2 linked regions of the Struthio camelus genome follow. The protein of the gene in region 1 interacts with the protein of each later gene in a pairwise test. Links are inferred from orthologs where the notes say so. Each region holds a gene or a part of one and is shown on either strand. Other genes may lie near its edges.

Region 1 (7,619 bases):
AAATCCTCTCTGCAAGCCAATTTATGGGCGTTGTGTGGTCAGAGGGAAACTGAAGGTTAATCTCATGGGAGCAAGTTCCCAGATTAGGGCCCTGGGCTGTAGAGCCCCTGCCCCCAGCCTGACTCGGATGGGAGCTGGGGACATGGAGCCAGGAATGCTTGTCAGCTCAAATTACTGGCTAAAGGCGGCATTTCCTATTGACATAAAAGCAACCAGAGTGAATACAAGGGCACAAAAAGGGGGGTTGGGGAGGTTGAGGGTTTTTTTTGGTTTTGTTTAACTTGTCATCTGGGTCTGTTCAGTGTTGTCCCTGGAGAGAGTGACAGGGCAAGTCAGAGGCTGAGGGCCTTCTGCCATGGTGATGGAAGCCGTACAAGCTGAGGAGAGATGGAGAGGTCTGGTAACCAGCCAGGAGGGCTGAGCACTGAGGAGAGAACCAGAAATCCCATTTTTATTCTGATTTGGGATTTGACCCTTAATTGGCAATAATTTGTAAGCCCTCCCCCCCCCCCCATTTAGTGTGTAGGCCAGCTCTGTTGCACACTCATGTCCATTTCAGTAGCATGTGTCTTCTCAGGGTCCTTGGAAGGAAGCAAGACCTGCTCACAACTTGTAGAGCTCCCTGGCTGGTACTAGATATGCCGTTGGCTTTAATGGTCTGGTGACCTTCCAAACCATATTAGAAAAGTTGGACACTCCATAGCTCCTAGGCTGTGGCAGTTAGATGTTACAGAAACCTTCTAGAAACCAGTGTCTGTCCTGTTTGTGTTGGGAGACTCAACTGGCCAGGAACAGAGGCTGCAGCACAAAGACCACAGTCAGGTTTCAGGGATGTGGTGGAGGACCCAAGAGCACAAGACCTGTGTAGGTGGCCTCTGCCACTGCAGGGTGGCTCTGCTGTCTTCCTCCCACTGCAGGGACCATTCACATCAAACGTGCACAGAGGAGACCATGGAGACGTAGCTTTTGCTTCTAGGGAACACAAGAGTTTGTTACGCAAGCCTCGGACTTCATACTGCACATGGGCAGATCTGTGGCGTAGTCCTAGATACGGCAAAGCCTTCAAACAAGCAGCCAAGCAGGAAGGGTAACAGGAAGGCCAAGATGTCCCACCTCACTCTCACTATATCAGGATGGCAGCACCAGGCTCTGTGATCCTCTGTAGCTGTGGGAGTGATGCAGCTCCACTCTGGAAGAGTATGAGTGAGGCGAATGAGATCCTGCAAACGACTTTCCAAAACTGTCTTGTTCTGGTTGGGGATGCTTCAGGGGGACAAGTGTGACCTGATGCCCCAACGTACTCAATGGGTTAGGTCAAGGAGGGCTGTTGTACATGGCCTTTACTGGCCTGTATGGAAACCAGTGCTTCCTTCAGGTCAGGAAAATCCTTGTGTGGCCCAATAAACCAGCTAGACTAGCTTATGTGCCACCAAAAAGGCACACAGGGACTCCAGCTGCACACAGTCTCTCTGCCATGTATCCAAGAGGCCTGACTGCCCTTTCACAGGTGGGTCAGAGTGTGCATGTTGCATTGCACATTAGAAAAGAAAAGAAACGTTGTTGGATATTGTGGAGGGTTTTTAGTAGAGGAAATTGAAAAATATGTATGTGACATATCTGAAGACTTGGTTTGAACTTGCATCCTGATTATTCCAGATGTTCCCCAGATGTCAAAGGGAACCAGTCATTGAAACAGAAGAACACATTTGTTTTAACAAGTTCTAACTTCAGAATTGCCAAAGAATAAAAAGTCCTGAGTTTGTTTTGATTTTTTCTTTCACCAGTAACTTTAGTATCTATTGTCTACTAGTCTAATTGAGGGTGAATTTGTTCCGTTTTGTTCTAGATGGTGTGATGACGATACACATTCTATTCCTGGCTGCTTACCAATCTCTTCTCTCTGGGTTTGCATGGTATCCGAGCAACTCTTGGAAAGAAGAGCTATAAATATTGGGAACAAGAGATGTACACCACAGGGGTAAAACTAGGGAGCGGCTCTCCTGCACAAAGGGTTTATAAAACTGGTCTACTTGGGGCTTCACCCTTCAGCAAGTCACTTGACTGAAACATTTCAGGGCACGTAGAAGAGTGAGAGGTCATAGCAGAGGTCTGAAGCTGCTCTGATCTGCTGGTAAAACCTGCCTTAGTGGGGCCCACCATCCTTGAGGGGTGGCAGCGAGGGCAGAGGGCCTCTACTGCCCCTGCGTGGCGTGGGAAAAGGGTCCAGACCTGGAGAGGAGCAAGAGCTGGCTCAGGGCACCCTTTGGCCCCAAACTGGGGGAAATGAGGGGTGAATGGTGTGCTTCTGCCTGGGCCTTCCTCCTTTCCTTTCCCCTCCTTCCTCTCTCTCTTTCTCTCTGTTTGTTCTAAAGGAGCAATCAACATTCAACAAAAATTTAACATGAGAGAAGACATTTTTCAAGAATTTGTGATATAAATCCAAGATTTTTCAGAAATCAGGACTGTTTCTGTCACATCATCTGGGTGCAAGGAAATCAGGTGGCTCCTAACAGTCCTAGGACACATTTCTTTGCATTGAAGGAGCTGCTGTTAGTGACAGAGACTATTTATACTGTGAGTTTGAGTGTACGGAAACCAGAAAATGAATTATGGACTCTGTACAGTTGCACTGGTTTAACTTACGTTGCTTGAATAAAGCAGATACAGCTTTTGGACATGGATTTTTCTTGCAGGGGTTTGATTATATTTGTTTTGTTTGTACCTTTGATAACAACCAAATTTAAAGTGAGAGGAGAAATCAGTGCATAGCTGGACTGATCTAAGGGAGTGAGTACAAAATTGCTTTTTGGTTCCAGTGGAAGAACTTTGTGCATGGACTGGGAGAAGGAAACAGCGGTGGTAAATTTTTCTGGTGCTTTGGTGTCCAGTAAATATCTAATATCAATTCCCTATTGTGAGCTTATCCATTTCCTATTCCTATTGGGAATTGCATTCGCATGCTTATTGTGAGGATCACCAAAGCATTTAGAAACATTCCTGTTAAATCTGTTAGTGGAATCTAGTTTACTTGTGCAAGAAGACAGGACGAGGATCAAGGATGGGAGGTGCGCGCACGTGTGTATACCTGCCCTCTCCTGGGCAGAGGCGGAGGTGCCCAGGAGCTCTCCTGTATGGCGCTCTCCTTTTGAAGTCAGTAATTTTCGTTCATTATGACTGAAATTAATGTTTTGAGAGACAAAATACTAGCTATCTTCTCTGCTGTATTCAATTCCCCTGCAAGGGGCTTACAACAAGGATAGAGGCACGGGCTGCTGTGGCAAAGGTGGTTGCAAGGCACCCATAAATAGACTGGATTTGATTTATCAAACCAGGTTTGATTATTTACAGTTTTTCAGGTGAGGCCAACAGCAAGGAGCAGAGCCTTTGTAGCTCTCTATTTCCCTCACGGAGATCCCACACTTTGTCTCGCGCTCATTTTGCAGCAGCATGTAAAGCGTTTTTTATGCCGTGCAAAAAGCACGACAACGAAGGACGAGGCTGCGACTACTCCTGGCGCTCTAGCTCCTGATGAGGCGCATTAAGAGTTATTAACCAGCACGGCCGGGGTGGCTGGCAGGGCTGCTCGCATTCGGTCAGGGAGACGCAGGTAAAGCCACGTAGCTTGCCCGAGGCCATTCTGACCGGACTTGGAGAGGAAACGTCGACGCGGACCGTCGTGCTGGGGACGGGGACGTTTCGGCCAGGCCAGGTGGTGGCCACAGCAGCCTCCTGCTGCTGGAAGAGGCAGGTTGCCACCGCAGCGAGACCTGAAGGAGGTGAGGCCTGGCCCTCCGGCGCCGGCGAAGCCAGCGGCACGAACGCAAACGCGGCGACGCCGAGACCCCGCCAGCACCGGGGCCGATTTATGGCAAAGCCCGCAGCCCTCCCCCACAACCCCCTCACAGGCGCCCTCCCGTCCCACCCCCTTCACACCCTCCTCGCACCCTCTCACACACACCCCCCTTCAACCCCCCTCACACACCCCCACAGCCCCTTCACATCCCTCACCCACGCACCCTCCTCACACCCCCCCACCCCTTCACACACGCTCCTCCCTGCCCTCCGCGCTCCTTCTCACTCCCACCGCCCCCACACCCCATGTACCCCCTCACGCACACGCCAAAGCCCCATACACACCCCATTTACCCCTACACACACCCCTCGTAACCCCCTCACACCCCATACACCCCCCATTTCCACCCAGCCCGCCCCTCGCGCCGCCAGGGGGCGCCGGGGAAGGGGCGGGGGGAGCCGCGCGGTTCCCGCCGAGGGGGCGGGGAGCGCCGCGCCCGCCCTTTCCCGCTTCCCCCCGGGGCGGCGCCGGCCACCTCCCCCTCCGCGCCTTCCGGCTCCGTGACCCGGCAGTGCAAGCGGAGGCGATGGCCGCCCGCTGAGGTTGTGGCGCGGCGGGGACGGGAGCGGCGGCGGCCGGGACGGAGCGGGGGGGAGGGGGGGGCGGAGTCGCCGCCCCGCACTTCACCTCGGTGAGGCCGGGCCGCTTCCCGCCGCCGCCTCCCCGCGGGGGACTCGAACCCGCGGCCCCTGAGGGGCGGCCGCGCCCGGCGGCGGGAAGCGGAGCGGGGCCGGCGCGGCCCGGGGGCGGCTGCCCCGCGGGGCCCCTTGAGGCGCGCGGGCCCCGGCCGCTGCTCAGGGCGGTGGCGCCGCCGGTCGCCCCGGGGCGGCCCCTGCCCCCTGCGGGGCCGTTAGGAGCTGCGAAATCTGCCCTTGCGCCGAGTTTTGGCAGCGCTCCTAGGGTTTTTTCCCCTAGAGGTGGTTTTGTAGTACACGCTGTTCTGTGCTTTCTCTCCCTAGAGTGAGAATTAACCCCGTGAGAGCAGGTTTTCGTCCCTGAGCTGAGCGCTGCGGCCTCCAGCAAACCCAGATCGCACCGTCGAGCTCTGTGGCGCGTCTCCTCGGCTGAAAATGAAGACCGTGCTGATGGTTGCAGAGAAACCTTCCCTGGCTCAGTCCATCGCCAAGATCCTCTCGCGGGGTAGGGACGAGAGCGTGTTGGTTTCGGCCCTACTGCTTGTCGTCCGGCCGGTCTAAGTCCTCTAGGACTCCCAGGCTTTACTGAGGAAATGCGTGTAGGTTGAGTAGGGACATGATGCAAAGGCTTCCCCGTGGTGAAATGAGGTGGGAAACCCCCTGGACAGCTGCTTTCTTGTCTTTGGAGCAGCTGTCACTGAGAGCACTGTGGTAGGACGGGTTCCAGTCCATAAAGTACCTGGATGGCATTCCACGTTTTGTTTGGTTTTGTTTTGTTTTTTTTTTTGTCTGCTAACACCTGTTCAATCCCAGGGTAAATGAGCCTGCTTTTATTTAGTGTAGCGGCAGTGTGCATTAGTGCGTACGGTTTCTGGAAAGCGCCGGTTAAGTAGCAAGTTGTTGTTCTGAGATTTTTGAAATATCTTATAAGTCATGGAAAACAGAATGAGTATAGTTGTACTGATCCAGAAAAGAAGAAGTCTTTTCATAAGAATTTCCTGGTGGGAAGAAAAACACAGAGGAGATCCTGGATAATTTCAACTGGAAATGAAATATGCTAAGAAAGGCCCAAAGTGATAACTGGCTGGAGAAGAACTTGGTTGAAGAGTGGAAGCCTGTGATCAGGAAGACCGTACCTGTGAGATCTAGAAAAAAGGGGGGAGGTAGCTGATTTCAGAAGAGGTAATGCCTCTTTCTTTGAATAGTTTTTTTTAGCCTGTTGATATTTATGTTCTTCTCACAGGAAACATGTCCTCTCGCAAAGGACTGAATGGTGCGTGTTCTGTGCATGAGTACGCTGGATCATTTGTAGGACAGAGCGCCCATTTCAAGATGACATCTGTGTGTGGTCACGTGATGACTTTGGATTTCATAGGTGTGTGTCTGTTCATAACCTTTTTTAACTGATATGGCTTGCAAAACTGTCTTGGGACTTCTAGTGGGAAAATGCTGATTGTGAAAATGACTCAGAGAGTTAGCATTAGAGCGGAAATGGGGATGAAAGGGTCACTAATGGTCAGCAGTTCTGATTTTTCTTTCTAGTTCTGTAGCTGACTTCTTGTATCACCTTAGGCAGAACGCTTATCTTTTCTGTGCCTCAGTGATGTTACCAGAAAATAAGGGGATATGAAGCTCAGTGTGCCAGCCTGTAAAAATGTTTTGGTGTTCTTGAAGGAAAGATAATTAAGGAATGCAGAGTCTAAAGGGAGACTGTCTAATACATCGTAGTGTATTTTGGTAAAGTGGAGATATGGTAAGGGTCATGTGCAAGGGTTCTGGTCACTAACTTGCTTTGAAATATTGGACTAGCCATGTGACTATTTCCTCTCATGCTAACTACCTCACAAGTTTGATGAGGACTAATTCTTGAGTTGTTTACACAGTACGTTAGAGAGGTACGGTGTCATGTAGTTGCTAAGTAATATTACTAACAGTTAGTTCAGAGATACAGAAATGAACAAATGCACCGATACTACAAGATGACACAGGATGCTCCATGATAGACATTTATTTGCAGGGCTGAGACATAACTGGCCATATGTAATGAACAGTAGAACAGACTATAACGTGTACATTTTATGTGCATGGTGAAAACAAGGAAAAAGCTCCTTCCTTTGGCCATGTCAGTTGGTTGTACTAACAGAAGATATTTTAACAGCTCGTGTTATCATTTCTGAAAGGTGTCTAGTATTTTTTTTCCCCCTTCATGTGTCATGTTTCAAAGTAATAGCTGCAATTCACATAAAGAGCTAAAGACTTAAAGCAAGACACGTTAGAGTAGAAAGGTTTCCATGACAGATTTTGAAAACCAGCTGTTTTGCAAAGTTTTATACATATGTATATGTGTGTGTGTGTGAGTGTATATTTAATTTAGAACTCTAGCTAATATACTTCTATTTTTCAGGAAAATATAACAGCTGGGACAAAGTAGATCCAGCAGAACTTTTTAGCAAAGCCCCTACAGAAAAGAAAGAAGCTAATCCCAAACTGACCATGGTGAAATTTTTACAGGTACTCTCTCTTATGAGATACATTCCATCTTCAGGGATTCATTGGCTCTATTCTTCTTCTGTTGGACACAAAACAATGAGATCCATTTTTATCTTGCCAAGAAAAATAAGTGAAGTTATTCTGTGGTTGTGGAAAGCAACACAAATTACTAATAAATTTGAAAGAACAGTATAGCATGTTGCTATGAGTTAGCCTTGCTTTTTTAAATTTTTTGCTTATGGTTACCTAGCACTATTTCAGAAACAGAAGCGTACTCATCTCCAGGCTCTTAGAGTAAGTCAGTTAGCTTCCCTTTACAATAAGGAATTGAGTCTGTCTTCACCACAGATAAGTTTCCTTTTGGAAGGTAATACCAGAGGAGTCTGTGTCCTTTAAAACGTTTGTTACATATCTTCCCTCTAAGAAGGCAGGAAGGCTATCTGCATGAACTGTTGTTTCTCACATTGCACATTGTTAAATGTTTGATTCAGTAGATGTCTTTTCCCACTTCCCAAAAGTGGACAGTGTCTGGCAATATGCCATACAATATGCTAGAGTCCTGTCTAGATTCAGAGAAATGAGTACATTAAGGGTTTGCTTCCCTGGAGGAAGCAGCCTTTTGGCAAGATTAGATATATGTT
Region 2 (8,415 bases), on another chromosome or scaffold:
CAAATTGTTTCAAATTCAAAATGTTACAGAGCTGGTGGAGAGGAAAAATGCCAAAAACAGCAAGAAAATCCACCCCCCCGCACACCTTTAATTTACTCAGAGAAGGTCATTTTAAAATGCATCCTGTCAGTGGTCCTTTTTTGTAATCTGGCTGTTAACATTTGCTCACAGTGCTCTCAGTGAAATGAGAATAGCTATGCAAATTAAAGCCAGATATCTAGGGCAAATAGCATGCTATACTAGCATTGTTCTGACAGCTTGAGAAAACTTATCAGGAGAGCCTGTCCTTATTTCTTTTAACACCATATATATTGAAAAAAATCACTTCACCCACCACCGAAATGAAAAACAACGTATGAGTCACTAGCTTCAGCAACACTATCAATCAATGCAAGCTTGGAAGTGAAGAACTTACAAAGGAAACCATGGCTTACCCAAAATACCTAACTATGCCCTGCAACATAAAGGCCTGAATTGTGCTGCAACCAGCACAACGTTTCAACAGCAAGGATGTTATTAGTCTTAGAAACAGTGGCTCGGGACGGGTAACGACCACCTCTGCGCTTCATTTGCCCTGAAAGTCAACAGCTCCAGCAGCCAAGAAAATAGTAATGCTCGACTGGGAAGGTGGTTCAGGACCAGTTTCCAGGAGCTCCCAGCGCTCCCAATCTCCCACAAAACTTCCTTGCAGTCCTCTGCTTCAGCAATGACCAAAACACAACTTCGTTCAGTTCAACAGTGACCACAGGAAAGGCAGCATGACATTAGATCCTCCCTCCCCAAGTCAAAGAGGAAGTACATTAAACCAATTAGATGAAGCCTCCTGCTCTTCAGCATGGGAGCAACGGGAGCGCGTGGAGGAAGAATTTATTCCAAAACAAACTGCAGCCTACAATGAAAAAAAAAAGCCAGAGCCAAGACCTCTCCGTGTGCCACTACGGTGGTTTACACCAGTGCTCGCTCATCGTTGCACCAAGTCCCCCAGGAAAATACGTTCAGAGCTACCTCCGCCAGTCCTCACTGTCCCCACACTTGGATGTGAACATACAGGTATACATCGAGACTACCAGCCTTTGTCCACTGAAGTGAGGAAATTAGGTTTGGTTCTGCACTCCTAAGACTATATATGAACCCACCTCTCCTCCTCTCTCCATTCTCCAATTTGAGAAATGAAACCAAGAACCAGACCAAGAACTGTACGGTTTTTATTGGAAACAAGTTTGCCACATTTTCCAGCCGACTAGGTCATGGCAATCTGTAAGAGAAACCGAATTTTTGTTTTTTTGGAAGAACCGTACTGACTTCAAAATAACCACAACTTCAGAAGCTACATATAACATATATTTATAGTCTCTTCATTAAGAAGTGCCAAAAATACAATTCCCCTTAATACATGTGCTGTAGTCAGAAGCCATTTCCTTTGCCACTAACTTTTCTATAGTAAATCATGTTAAAATTAGTTTTATGTTATTAAGGTACAGCACAGCACACGCTGCCAATTAAATTTTGACTCTAAAACAGAATGGAAGTTGCACAACGTTTAGAATGCTTTGTAAGCCCTGAGAGAAGTCAGTTTAAAGCATGGTACATCCTATGGTATTTGGCATTAAACCAGTCTTGTATGCAGTGAGTCATTTTTCTGACTGTCAAACCAAAAAGAGATAGCCAGAAACAATGTTTTGGTGAGTACATCTTTAAATTTGTTCCTGTAATTCTGTACTAACATCTTTCTTAATTTCATTTTGGGAAAAAGCACCGTCAGTCATTTTGCAACCTCAGACACAGCATCTCAAGAGGATTTACGTGCAGGGAGATCCAGGAACGTTCGTCTATTCCCTAGCTGTGTCAACTGCGGCCAGGCCAAACCGGACAGCATTTATGGAAAGAAGCCGTGCCACCTGGGAGAGATTCTGTTCCGGCTTTACCCCTGCATTAATAAAACGCAAGCATCACGCCAGAAGATGCTCCCAAACTCACGCACGCAGTGCCCGGTGCACCTCACAAGCGCCTAGCTCGCTCTGCAGAGGCATTGCTAGGCCCCGGACTTGCACAAAAGATAACACGCGCCCTAGTTCAACACGCTGTCACATCCAAGCCCGTTGCTCGGAAAAGCCCAAGCAACCGGTCACACACCGCAGTCAGTGTGACACTGGGGGGGGGGGGAGGGAGTACGAGCAGCACAGCGGAGGCCAAATATAAAAATATATATAGGCATGCATGTGTGTATATAGGTACACATATATGTCGGTATATATGTAAATCCATGTACACAGATATACACGCGAGAGAAGCGGGGCCGCCGTTACCGCCGGGCCGGGCGGGGGGCAGTGAATGGGGCGCCGCCGGTGACCGGATTTATGAATGCGGCGTCACGTGACGGCCGCGGCCGCCCTCCTATTCACAAAACGGCGGCGGCCGCGGCGGGGCCCCGCGCCACTGCCAGCGCCGCCGCCCCCCCCCTCCGGCGGAGAGGAGGGGAGGGCGGGCAGCCCCGCCGGCTCGGCGAGCGGGCCGGGCCGGGCCGGGCCGGCGGGCAGCCGTGCGGCCAGGCCCCGAGGGGGGCCCCGGGGCCCCTCCGCCCCTTCCGCCGCCGCCGCACGGCAGGCGGCGACGCGAAAAGCCGCCCCCGGGGCAGCCCCACCGGGCTTAGTGCTCTCGGGGGTTTTTTATGAATGAAAATGCGGTATGCAAATGAGACCGGTGCGGAGGGGGGGGGAAGAGAGGGAGAGAGCGAGCGAAATGGCGGATGTGCGGGCTGCAGCGCACACACACGGACGTGCGTGTGTGTGTGTGTGTGTGTGTGTGTGTGTGTGCGCGAGTGCCCGGGGGGGCCGCGGCGGCCTCCCCGCCGGGGCAACAAAGGGGCCCCCCGGCGGTGCCCCCCCCCGCCCCGCCTCCCCGCCCGCCCGCGGCGCCCCGCTCACTCGTCCGGGTAGGCGTCCTCGGTCATCTTCTCCCCGTCTAGGCTCATCCCTCGCCGCGGGCGGCCGGGCTGCGCCTCCGCATCTTCCTGCGCTTCACATGGCGGGGGAGGCCGCGGCCGCGCCGGGCCCGACGGCGCGGGAGCGTGTGCGGCGGCGGCGGCGGCGGCGGGGGGTGCTACGGCCTCGCTCGTCGCCGGGCCGAGGAGGAGGAGGAGGAAGAGGCGGCGGCAGGGGGAGGAGAGGCGGCGGTCAGCGCGCCGCGGGGGCGCGGCGGGGCGCGGCGGCGGCGGCGGCCCGGGGCGCGGGCCCGGGGGAGCGGCGCGGCGCCCGGCGGCAGGCGGCGGCGCCGGGCCAGCGCCATGGCCGCGCTCACGCCATGGCCGGGCGCCGCGGGCGGCGGCGGCCCCGGCCCCGGCCCCGGCTGGAAGCGGCGGCGGCGCTGCCGAGCGGCCGCCGGGAGCGGGCAGGGCAGCGCCGGGAGCCGGGCAGGCAGCGAGCCGCGGCGGCGGCGAGGAAGGAGGGGACGCGCCCGCGAGTGGCGCCTCCCCCGCGGCGGCGCGGCCCGGCCCGGCCCGGCCCCCCCGGCCCCCGCGGCGCAGCGCGGCGCAGCGCAGCGCAGCGCCCGGGGCGCGGCCGCCGCCCGCCTCGGCTCGGCTCGGCTCGGCTCCGTTCGGTTGAGCTCGGCTCAGCCCGACTCAGCTTGGTTTGGCCCGTCTTGGTGCAGCTCAGCTCAGCCCCGACTGGTTCGGCTCAGTTTGGCCTGGCTCGGCTCGGCCTGACTTGGCTCCTCCGTTCAGCCCGGCCCTACTCAGCTCGTTTTCGCTCTGCTCAGCTCGGCCCGACTCGGCTCGGTTCGGTCCGACTCGGCTCGGTTCAGCCCAGCACGAGCGGCCAAGGTGACGCGCTCGCGTCCGGCCTGGCGCTACTTAGCGTGGTCATTGCTAATGTCTGGGCGTCGCAGGCGATGAGGCGCCTGCAGGTGCCCCGCGGAGCAGAGGCGAGAGCTGCCCGGCTTCCCGCGCCCAGCGCTGCGTTTCGTCAGGCCGGCGAACCCCGGGGCCTGGCTCGAGGCAACGCCAAGGTGTCCTGCCGGCGCAACGCCAAGGTGTCCTGCCGGCACGCCGCAGTGCGCTTGTGCTTTACTTCCAGCTGAAGCAGCAGGCTGGCTTTTCTGGACTATTTCTCTCCCCGCTTGCTGTCATAACTCTATTGTATGTGGGTATCCATAAAGTACTTTCCCTGAAGGCACGCTGTAAAATACTTTCACATGGGGAAATAAGTCATGATTGCTGTATACTTTAAAGGGCGCAGAATGAATACTTCACCTTGTGTAATAAGTAAGCCTGATCCTGCTCGCTCTGCAGCAAGACATGCTCCTGTCGATGGGGCTGCTCGCAGCAGTAGGTGCTCCACTTAGCTCATAGCCATAGGAGGACGCCCTGAGTAAGGATCTACTTTTCTGCAGGTTAGTAACACTATGCAATATGTGCAGGAAGATTTTTTTTTTAATAGCGTAACCATAGCAGAAGAAGAGTTTCTGAGAAGTCAGTGTCGTTGCTTGAGAAGGGGGGAGGAGCGGACGTTACACTCGTGTAAGATTTTGTGCCCGTGCTGGAGGAAAAAGCATCTCCTTGAGCACCGTCGTTCTGATCCTTCTCAGTGTTTCTTTTGGAGGTGCCCAGCTGCACTGCAAACTGGGCACTGAGGTCTGCCCGAGTTGCTGTGGGTAGGAGAAGAAAGGGAGGAGAGCGATGAGGTGATCCTCTGTTGCCAGGCACCTCCGTTTGCAGAAACGTCCAAAGCCGAAGGTGTTGAACGGCTTGTCCTGCCCAGGTGGCCAGAGTGCGTCCTCTATGCCTTTCCTTAGGTAAGCAGCGCTTTTCTCTCTTTCTTCTGGGTTTCAAGGCATAGTTTCACGACCTACACGCGGTTCCGCAACCCCTTGTCTTGGTGGGGTGGTGGGATGCGGCAGCGAGCGCAAGCCCGATAAGTCAATGTTTTTTATCACTGCCCAACTCTTGGAAAGAAGGTTTGGCCGTGAAGGTGAGTGACTAGATGTAAGTTTTGGTTTTGCTTTCTTCATCAGCTCCGATGAACGGAGCGATCCCAGGAAAAGAAGTCTCTGTCCCACCCAAACATGTTGCCTCTCCCTTCTGGCATCCATGAGCTCCTCGGCTGCAGGATCTCTGCTGATGGCGCGTGGGAGATGTCCTGTCTGAGCAAAGGCGCTGGGATCGCCGTGCAGGGGGGTATTTGGCCTCCACGTGGAGGAAGGCAGCTACCAATTTACCTTTCAAATCTAGTCTGCTGGCCTTAGTTTTAAAGGAGTGCTTGGATTCGGCAGGGCGGCCGGTGGAAAGGGTCTGTGCGTTTCTGCTCTGTTGGTTTCAGATCCTAAATGGTCTAAATTCTCTTTTCAGGATCAGAAGTGGAAAGTTGGAAGAAACTCGTGGCCTGCTAGTAACTTGCTGGCATCCATTCCTGGAGGCAAAAGTCACTTAAAGCTTTGAGGTCTTCTTTATGTGCTGCTTACACCCAAAGGGAAGCAGAGCGTCCTTTGGAGATGGTATCAGAATCCACAGCTTTGGTCACATTATGATATTAAAGTCATGTATTTTTAATTGCTAGAGGTTCAGCCTGTGACACTAGCAGCATTGCTTTCCGTTACTGCTAGCGCTGTATAACGCTTGAGAGCGTGAGCTTGCTTTCCTCCCGGCAGCAGCCTGCGGCGCGCTCGTCGGGGTGGCAAAGCTGCCTGTCTCCGGCCCCCTTCTCATCCAGTCATTCCCACGCAAAGCCCGGTTTGACGCCCGCTTAGTTGTGCTAAAGCATCCCTCTGCGGAGTTATGCTATTGATTGGCTCTGTTCAATGGGCCAGGCTAATAATAACCCCCTAATGCCCCTTGATTTTGGAAAGTTATTCGGGGATCCGGTTTTCAGAATGGCATGATAAGCATCTTGGCAAAACTGCGCTGGCACTGAAAGGAAGTGTCGAGGCAGGAAGAAACGGTCGGGGGCAAGGAAATAGCAGGAACTTCTTAAGCTGTTACACCATAAAAGCCCAGATGTAATGATCTGACACTCTTCCACCTATCCCCTTCCCCCCTCCCCAAATGATGCTGAGATTACACAGGCTTCTAACTTTTTTTTGACAAAAATCTGTGTTCAACAAGAGCACAGATGTGAGTGAAGTGGTGAGTATGGTTTTTAGTAGTGAGCTACCGCAGAACCAGAATAAGCCAGGAGTTATGGCCATGTGGAAAAACCAAACTAGCATGCAATCATGTAATTAAAAGGCTATCGTAACGCGTATGCAGCTGAGGAGGACCGGGGTACCCAGGCTGTCTTTTTACAGCGTTTATTAATGCTTGCAAGCTTGACTTTGTGACCTGAGTGACTTTTTATGCATTTTGTATGGGCATGTATATGTATTTGCCACAATGGTTAGATGCAAAAGTGTCCGAGGCTTTGAAGCGGAAGTTTTGCTAGATCTAGTTGCTTAAGCCTCTGGATTTGCAGGATCTCACATCTGATCTCTGCTCTCACTGTCATGTTAATTTGGAAGTTGCTAAGATATATGTTCTTGGAATGATTTCTGTCACCGTGCAACCCTGTTACTATTGTGTATATGCCTTTACAGCGGATAAATACTGAATTTGTTTTTTCTAATATTGCAGTTACCACACGGGTGGGTTCTTGTGAGTAGCTCTTCAAAAAGGAGTGACTTTGCTGAATGAAAAGGCTCTCAGAGGTGCAATTTCTGCTTGTGGATTCCAGTGTTTGTATACAGAGTTCCTGCTTACGCGCAGAGTGGTGTTTTCCCTGTGATGTGATCGTTACAGTACCTAGAATTAATTAGCCATTGGTGGCAGTGCTTCAAGACAGCAGCTCCTGCATACTAATGATTTGCGTGCTAGGAGTATTCTGCATTTTGGGTTTGAAAGGAAAATTTACTGTTTGTATTTCGACTGTTGCAGAGAACCTGGTGTATGGACGTTGTTTTGTGTTTGGCCTGAAAATGGACCTCGCCAAGTGCTGTTAGAGCGTTAGCTGATTTTAGCTGAAAAGCGATGGTATTTGAAGGAGCAAAGTTTAGTATGGCGTTTATTGCAGACTTCCAGTGTCACCTATTACCTTCACATACACTCGCCTTTAAATAATGCACTTTTGAGCTGAAACCTTCCGTGCTGTTGAGTTAGGAATCTAAATATGAATATCGGTACCATGTTCAATGTGCTAGTTTAAATGACTTTTCCACTGACTCACTCTGCGACTTTGAATGAGCGAGGAGTGGAAGTCAGTAGTCCTGAATCACTCTGTCCTCCAGACAATTACCCTCCACCCCCCGTAATTCTTTCGAGCAGCAATCATATTTTAAAAGCAGTGATAACAGCCGTGTTTTTCCCCATTCTAATCGCTCGGAATTTAAGAGCTACAGAAATGATCTGAAACATTTTCAGCCAGGTTGAAAGCTTTCAGCTTTGAGACGTTTCTGTAGGTCACGGAGTCTGGAAATACAAAGCCTTTTTCAGCAGCAGTGGGATTTCGCTATGTGGTTTGGAGAATTGTCACAAGTGTTTCTGTCACCTGCCAGGGAAGAGGAACTAGAGTGATCCTCACAGTCTTACTGGGACAGTCTTTTACGGACTGCAAGACCAGAAGAGGAAAGCAGAAAGGGACCCTCATTGCCAAACAGGCTGCTTTGCCCAAGATCTGGCTGTCCCACTGTTTTCTAGGTTTCTCATTTTTTATTGCGACGTGTTTTATTACTGGACAGAAACCGCCCTTCATTGCCCCAACAGCAAAGCGAACGTGATCTTTTTGCTGCTGCAGGCACGCACCCTCTTTGTGCCGTTTCTGAAACCTCGAGGCTGGAGGCCCGAGGGGAAGGAGTGGAGGGGAAGCACGGGGAAGGAGAGCAGGGATCTCGGAAATAACTGAGCGCTCACCGGCTCGAATGAAGTTAACTGGCTGGTTAGAGGAGCGACTCGGTGCTTCTAACTGAAAGAAGAGGTGGAGCAGGAGCTCGGCCCTTTCTGGACGCCGCCGGATCCGCTGGGCAATAGCAACGAGCCAGCAGCAGGGGAGGCATTGACTAGCGCTTGCTGGCAGCCGTGAGTCACGAGCTGGGAGAAACCTAGTTTCGTTAGTTGCTACATTCACGAAACCATGTGTGCTCTTTTACCTTCTCCCAGAACAAAAGCGGGGTTTCTTGAAATCAAGTGATTGCAAGGAAAAGGGGACTTCTCAAAACCTTTGTTTTCCTATTGGGCTCTCCGACGTCCCCTTAATATTCAACAGAAAGTGATTTATAGCCCTCCTGACACGATGGTTTGGTGTTTCCTTTGTGTGCATAACTTCCTTTTGATATAAAGAGATGATAAAAAACCCAAATTGTAATCTCACAAGCACATGACACAGTGTCTTTGCGGTGCAGATAGCAGGGAAACGCTCTGCTCTTGAGTTCAGTGCTTCAGCCGCCCTCCCCCCA

Evidence for each region. The genes of interacting proteins can lie anywhere in the genome.
Region 2: the proteins of TOP3B (region 1) and SPRED2 interact in binary tests that used the Homo sapiens proteins (3 or more experiments, as listed by UniProt). The link is inferred for Struthio camelus from reciprocal best matches to the Homo sapiens genes TOP3B and SPRED2.

What each region holds. Positions count from the first base shown.
Region 1 is NC_090958.1:10,355,899-10,363,517, forward strand, and holds the start of TOP3B (DNA topoisomerase 3-beta-1), read left to right. Parts: upstream 1-4,301; 5' UTR 4,302-4,395; intron 4,396-4,812; 5' UTR 4,813-4,923; coding exon 4,924-4,993; intron 4,994-5,731; coding exon 5,732-5,863; intron 5,864-6,892; coding exon 6,893-6,999; intron 7,000-7,619. UniProt on the Homo sapiens protein: Releases the supercoiling and torsional tension of DNA introduced during the DNA replication and transcription by transiently cleaving and rejoining one strand of the DNA duplex.
Region 2 is NC_090944.1:141,410,002-141,418,416, forward strand, and holds the start of SPRED2 (sprouty-related, EVH1 domain-containing protein 2), read right to left. Parts: upstream 3,130-8,415; 5' UTR 2,972-3,129; coding exon 2,925-2,971; intron 1-2,924. UniProt on the Homo sapiens protein: Negatively regulates Ras signaling pathways and downstream activation of MAP kinases. Recruits and translocates NF1 to the cell membrane, thereby enabling NF1-dependent hydrolysis of active GTP-bound Ras to inactive GDP-bound Ras.